Linked DNA regions of Tribolium castaneum. The protein of the gene in region 2 interacts with the protein of the main gene of each other region in a biochemical or structural test. Links are inferred from orthologs where the notes say so. Each region holds a gene or a part of one and is shown on either strand. Other genes may lie near its edges.

Region 1 (4,185 bases), on a different chromosome or scaffold from region 2:
AGTTAAAACTTTCTGTTTTTTATTGTAAAATCTTGTCAAACTGTGTCAAAAATTCACTAAAATAGACGTGTTCTTCATTTCTGTGACAAGTTTGAGACCCAATGTCACAAGTATTTTACGAAATTATAAAGATAAGTTAAAAAGTACAAATTTCGAGCGAAATTCAGACAATGTTTGAGCTAAACACGTAACTGTTTCTCTAAATTTTGCCAAATGGCGTTATTTTTGTCTTTTTGAGACTTTTTTTGGGCGATCGTCAACTTCACCTTCACAAGTTTTATTAACTTTGTCAGGCAACTAAATTGGACCAAACAAAAAATGATAAATTTGCCTTTTTCGAACACGTTTCAGAGATAGACATAATTTATTTCATGAAACTGTCTCAAAAAAAGTCGAAAAATCACAAAATTCAATAAAAAATTACACCATTTTGTCGTTTTCTAAAGGTTTAGCACGTATTATTTGGGGTTTACGAAATTTTTCACCTTCTTTGAGTACGTTTCAGATACAGAAACTATTATTTCACAAAAATTTTCCCTAAAATACTAATTATAAAATTTTTCGGGCCTTTACGCCCATTTTTTAGTTAAAAACTTCTATTTTCTTTCGAAATTTTGTCACACTGTTTATGAATAAGACCAAAAATGACGTTTATTGCCCTTTTCAGGCGCGTTGGGACCCAGAAACGCAATTATTTTATGAAATTTTGCCTAAAATAAGCCAAAAAGTCACTAAACTCACTCAGAAATGTCTTTTTTCGAAAGTTTTAGCTAGTTAAATTAGTCCGAAAATGATTTTTTTACTTTTTCACGGACGTTTTAGATAAGAAATAGTTATTTTTCGAAATTCTGCACGATATAAGTCAAATAATGACTAAATTCTGTTAAAAATAACATTATGCTTTTTACTAGCAAATTTAATATTTTTCGAAATTTTGTCAAAAATAAACTGAAAAGTCACTGTTACGCCTTAAAAATGGGGTTTTCTGTACAATTTCCCAGTTTTCTTGACACCTTTTTTGAATTAAAAATTTACAATTACAAAATAAGAGCAAAATTTTTTAAACCCAAAAAACACAAAATTTTGCAAAAAATAAACCGAAAAATTACTAAATTCGGTTGCAATTAGTGATATTATTTCGCCTTTTTCAAAAGTTTCATAATTAATTTCTCAAAAATTCATCAAAAATAAACCGAAGTCACAGGTATTACAAGTAGATCCCAAATGGTGTTATTATGACCTTTTTGAGATTAAAAATTCATTAGTTTCTTTTATGAACCTGTACCAAAAATCATTAAGTTGGACTAAATATTATGTTTTTCACCTTCATAATAATAATTATTTCTCAAAATTTCGACAAAAATTAATCGGCCACCAGAGCCGCAAATCTTAGGATTATTTTTGCATTCTTTGAGAGAACTGAAATTACGTTTTTTGTCTTTTCGAGCACATTTCAGGCGCAGAAATGCAAATTTCCACAAAAATTTGCCAAGATTAAGCCTAACATCACTAGTTTCAGACACCTTACAAAGTTATTTCTCGAAATATCGTCAAAAATAAATCAAATACTTACCGATATATTGATATATATATTTTTTTTCAAGCATTTTAGCACGTTCTGTAGTTAAGAAGTTATTTTTTTTTGCAAAATTTTGTCAAGCTGTGCCAAAAAAATCAATATTTTTTACTTTTTCGAGCAAATATTTCACGAAATGATGAAAAACGAAAAATCGAAAGGGTCATTATTTTGCATTTTAGAGCGTCGTGTTTCTCCAAAATTTTAGTCCTTTGTATTGGTAAAAATCTTACCCATATTTCGGCTTTCATCATATTGGAATAATTTGCTATCATAGACCGTGCGAACCCTCAACTGTCTCTTAACGGCCGAAATTAATGGGGGTCTTTGAAACAAGGCCCCTCGGAGCTTCTCCAACCCTTGGAGCACTTTTGGGGTCCCTCCCTGTACAGTTGAATGCAATTTAAACACAGCCACGTACTCTTTCCCTGCAGCTTGCTGGGATTTAACCAGTCTGGTAGCGCGTTCAATGCACACAATTAAACAACCTTAAATCAATTATTAAATATACATGATTTCAATTAAATTAAATAGTTTAATACCTGTAACTTTCGGATCTAAAGTACCCGAATGACCTGTTTTTTCCACTTTCAAAATCCTTTTAATCCAAGCTACAACTTCGTGACTGCTTGGATTACTGGGCTTGTCCAGGTTAATGTAACCTGACTTAACATAATCGGAAATTTCCCTTCGTAAAGGGGAAGAACCAAACGGCAAAGGTACGTAATGGTTCGTTCTCACATTCAAACGGTCAAAATACTGCAAATCACGCTTTGATGTAACGAAAAACCGAATTTAAAACCCACCTTTAACAACAAGGGCCACTTGGAACTGTCCAACTTTGCAATCACTGAGGAGGGCTCCACTGCAAATTCGGAGCCTTTTTGAAGGTTCCCCAAGTCTTTGTCGCCCTTGCTTTTCTTCTTTTTCTTCTCCCTAACGGGCGTATCCGCCTCTGCACAAAATTGCGTTCTAAATAACGATAAGACAAAGCGGCCGGTTTTTTGAAAAAAATCATTATTTTTGAAACTCTAAATACATTTCTACCACTAATTATTTATCAAAGAACGAAATAAAGCCTCGTTAAAGATAATAATAAACAATAACTTACCAAACTCAGACATCGCTTAGAAAATAACCAACACGTGCATCCGACACAGAAAGTAGGGTTAGTTTTTTGACAACTAACAACAATTTTGACAGATTTTAAGTGGCGCTACTGAAAAAAATTTAAATGAAATAAATGGCGGGAAATGTTTTTTCGGTTATTTAGAGTCTTAAACGATTTTTCTTTTATTTTTTTTATTTTATTTTGGTAAACATTGGCGTTTTTATGCGCTGTAATCGGTGTTTAAAAATTTAAAAAATGTAAAAATTGCAATCTTTTTTTTTGTGTTTTTTTTCGGAAACACTGAGACTTAGAACTAAAATCAAAAAAGCATCAGATAGCGCCTAAAATTATCTATTTTCTTGCCAAAACCCGGAGCCGCTTCGGTCAACGGTTCCAGGTACAGAGGCATATAAAGTTTTACATTAAAAAAATATTTATCAAAAACCAAAAGTCTATTGTCCATTTTTTATTTCATTTAAAATTTTGAAATTTTTTGCTCAAAATTTTAATAATCAAGGCACTTACCTTCACAAAAATTAAGAAAAAAAATTTAAACTCACTCTAGCAAAGTTTTACGAACTTTTTGGCAAATAACTCAGAATGTGTTAGTTAATTACAAAACTTAAAAAAAAATGCCAATAGTTTTAGAAGAAATATAACATATGACGCAACTGTAAGTACCCTTCTATAGCTGTTTTTTTTGCAAAATTATATACGGTAACCCGTTTGCAAAATGTAATTTCAATTTTTAGAAGTTGATTACTCTACATTTTTCCAATTCAATCCAGGATTTTTTTTAAATATTAAAAATCGTTCTATCGAAGAGTTTTCTAAATTTTTCATTAATTTTAATTTTAGACCACAAAATTTTAATTACTATAAGAAAACTGGCCAATTATTGTCCGGTTTAACATTTTATCTGGACACCGGACAATCATCTGGGTGAAAACCGGACAGGTGTGGCAACCCTATGAGGAATTTGGTGACGATTTAGTGATTATCGTTTGTGGGTTGGTGCCATTCTGGGGATTTTCGTAGCGTTGGGTTGCGCGTCGCTTTTTTCTGACAGTTTTTTTGATAGCACGTGTTGTGGCCGGTTTTTTCACGCATTTCGCCTAAACTAAGTATAAAAATGAATAATTTGCTTCGAGTTGCGTCCAGACTCAGCTTCAAGACGCTCCTGAGTCCGGTTAAAAAAGTGTCCAACACTTTCCAGCAGCGGCAACTTGCGCGCAATCTTTGGTACATGTGCAATCGCAATGAGTCCGAAAACAAACTGAGCAAGTTGTGCACTTGTGGGTGCATGAGCAGGCACCAGCATGCACACAGTAAAGGTACGTAAGTGAGCCCAATAAGTTGGAGGAATAACAAACTTGTAGCCGAACGTGAACTGGTTGAGTTTCTCACTGAGGAGATTGTCCTGGAGAGGAAGGCCCAGAAGTCGGTGACGCTTCCAGCCGAGCTTGAGGGTTTTAAAGTGGGGTTGAACGGGTCTGAA
Region 2 (3,101 bases):
CACCATTCATTTAATTATTATATCAAGGACGTATAAATTATGGAAACTATAAATTATTTTCGTTGTTTTCATTTGTATTTTTTCAGTATCAGCCGACGAAAACTCATTGGGAAATGTAGTGTTACTGACGCGCGAAAAAGTCTTAGAAATAATTGAATCGTCTTATCCGAACCCTATCACAATCCAAGACATTGCAAAGTAAGTCATTGGCTTGATTTTTACAATTAAAAACAAATCAACAAAACAAAAATAGGGAAAATGGTTGGGATGAGGAGGAAGTGGCCCATCACATTGCCGATTTACAATCAAGCAACATTGTCAAAGCCATGGAACATGGCGCTTTTACCCGCCAACAGTCCCACGATACTCAAGTAATTATCGTGAAACAAATGCCGACGATGGTCAGCTCCAAACAACCGACAATCGCCATAATCACAGCCCAGTACTGTGAGAAATTGGCCGTGGATGCGATGATTGAAAACAAGGAGACTTTCGTGAGATATACAACAGTAGGTGAGTCACTAATTTATTGACAATAGAATTAATCAGATTCGGTTGAACTATCGTCACTCGAAGTATCACTAAAGTCGTCCGAATCATCATCTCTGATTTGCAAATTGTTCAAGTCCAAATTACGACAAACGTCGTCTTCGATTTCTTGGAGATTCAATCCAAGGTCACTCTTCTCGATCGTCACTTGTTTAATTTCTTCAACGACTTCTCTCCACTTCGTCCTGTCCCACTTCATGATGTAAATGATATAATCCTTAATGAACAAATTGTTAAGAATGTAACGGCAACAATCGCCAGTCAAAAAAATGTGGTACATTTCAATCAAACACTTGATTATATATTTTTCGCCCAAATCGAGTAGTTTCCTCAAATCGGTTAAAACGGTTCGGTTAAGTTCGAAATTCCGGTAAAGCGGGTAAATGACACTCCGCCGGAATGCACTAACTAGGGCATCCTTAGGCGTTTGGAAAACATCAAGCCAGCAAAACGTCGCGGCTAACTTGACAATGGTCCAACCCGACTCAGAGGTGCCCTCAAATTGGGTCGTCCGTCGGTCGTAACAATACGCGTATAAAATATCAACGAGACAACAGTGGCAATAATTGACTTGTGTCTCGCTCAAGTTGTACGTTTTGTTCGGTAAATCCTTAAGGAAGTCCAGTTCCTGGTCGCTGAACTGAACATCATCCGACTTTAACTTGTCCCAAGGCGCTTCCAGCGCGATCAGTTCCAAAATTTCCTCGTTTTCGATGTAGTCGCTCAAGTAGTGATCGATATTGAACTTGCCTTGCTCGAACTGCACCCGCATTTTGTGCCTTTGCCCCAAATTGACTTCGCGAGGGTCGACCTCAAACACGTCCTTGAATTCGGCCGAGACATGGTTGAAGTTTTCCTTGCCGCAGAGTGCGAACCCAAACTCTTCGTTCAGCTCGTCCGGGGATTTGATTCCCTCATTGGCCACGATAGTAATTTTGCGGTTGTCTTCGGTGACTTCGACTTTGGGGGTCAATAGTTTCGTTATCAGGTCCAAATCGGGGAAATGTTCCCCGTCGATTGCCTTCTTTATCGTGAAACTGAACTGTCCCGAGTCCGAATCGAACGAACTCTCGCTGAAATTGTCCTCGACGAGGCGCCCGGGCAGGTGTAAGCGCAGGTAATAGGGGCTGGTGTAGAAAATGAAGATGTCGTCGTCGACGGTCACCTCCAACTCGCCTAAATTACAGTACGGGGCTCGGATTTGTATTGTGACGGTTGATTCGGTTTGTGTTAGCTTAAATCGCGGCGTTATCATCGTGAAAACACACACTAAGTTTGGTTTGTGAGGTTAGGTGTGTTTGACAGTTGACATGTAACAGCGCCAATTTTAAACAGCAATTTTATTGAACAGGTCCCAGTAGCCCCACGGGTGACAAACCGAGGGCCCGCTTCGGTAAGATAATTGCAAGTTCTGGGGGAATCACTTGTGATGTCACCATTTTGTGTTTGTACATAGATCACGAAAATCACTTGTGAATGTTGCATTTGTATGCAAAATGCTTTCCACTGTTCACTAACACTGTAATTATCACGGGGTGTTTGCCATTGTCTTGGCGCACTTGTAACTGTGTGATTTTCCAGGGGAATCCAATGTTTACACTTTGGGGAACATTGGGGCCCACCGTATTGTGTGCACGAAATTGCCCTCAGTGGGCCATACTCGGGAAGCAATGACCGCTGCTGGTAACACAACCACGAGACTTTTGGGGACGTTCCAGAAGGTAGATTATGTGTTTTTGGTCGGTGTGGGTGGGGGAGTCCCCCATTACACCGACTATAACAAGCATGTCCGGTTAGGAGACGTCGTGATTTCGCATCCCGTCGATAATAAGTGAGTCATTTGATGCGAAAAATGACTGGCATTAATTGATAACTTTAGGGACGTGTACGTTTATTGCGAGACGGCCAAAGTCAGCGATAAGGGTTACGATTTTGAGGTCAAACACTACCGCCCCAATAACTTCATTTTGCAAGACATTTCCTCACAGTTAAAGTCGTCCGATTCGGGTGATAATGGGACGGTTTCACCGTGGGCCAAATATCTCAAGGATGGTTTAAATATTCTCAGTTCGCAAATCGAGACCGATTTTAACCCCCCGAGTGTGGAAACCGACAAACTGTACATGACTATCGGTGAAAGGGACTTGATCGAAGTGGCCCATCCTGTGCCACAGGACAAAAACATTAAAAGGTTTGTATTGTGTTAACTGAACTTATCAATTACGTGAATTTAATTGTGTGAATTAGTTATAAAAAGCCGGAAATTCGGAGAAAACCGGTGATTACGCCGAGAAAAACACTCTCGAGTCGAACTAGAACGATTAAGAGAAAAATTCTTAGGTGGGTGGTTGTAGAACCGCACCGTTTTGTAGTCACAGTATTTATTAAATCACAGTTAGTTGAGTAATTCCTCACTTCGTAATTAGTTCTACACGACTCACTTTTTCCTTGTTGTTTTGTGGTTTCGAATGTTTGCATTTTAGGCAGGAGGGTTGCCCTCGCATCCACTTATCCACCATAGCTTCAGGCCGTCTGATCGTCCGCGATGACCG

Evidence for each region. The genes of interacting proteins can lie anywhere in the genome.
Region 1: the proteins of protein SHQ1 homolog (region 2) and Nop60B are reported together in a solved structure, tested with the Homo sapiens proteins (2 studies listed by BioGRID, with this or other methods). The link is inferred for Tribolium castaneum from reciprocal best matches to the Homo sapiens genes SHQ1 and DKC1.

Annotation. Positions count from the first base shown.
Region 1 is NC_087394.1:7,767,148-7,771,332, reverse strand, and holds the start of Nop60B (H/ACA ribonucleoprotein complex subunit 4), read right to left. Parts: upstream 2,805-4,185; 5' UTR 2,701-2,804; coding exon 2,688-2,700; intron 2,532-2,687; coding exon 2,383-2,531; intron 2,336-2,382; coding exon 2,119-2,335; intron 2,065-2,118; coding exon 1,810-2,064; intron 1-1,809. Other genes in the region: P32 (complement component 1 Q subcomponent-binding protein, mitochondrial), read left to right, coding at 3,820-4,021, 4,067-4,185.
Region 2 is NC_087397.1:6,232,153-6,235,253, reverse strand, and holds protein SHQ1 homolog, read right to left. Parts: upstream 1,871-3,101; 5' UTR 1,805-1,870; coding exon 542-1,804; 3' UTR 514-541; downstream 1-513. Other genes in the region: uncharacterized protein LOC657396, read left to right, coding at 87-198, 254-513, 1,901-1,942, 2,131-2,380, 2,429-2,740, 2,797-2,889, 3,033-3,101. UniProt on the Homo sapiens protein: Required for the quantitative accumulation of H/ACA ribonucleoproteins (RNPs), including telomerase, probably through the stabilization of DKC1, from the time of its synthesis until its association with NOP10, NHP2, and NAF1 at the nascent H/ACA RNA.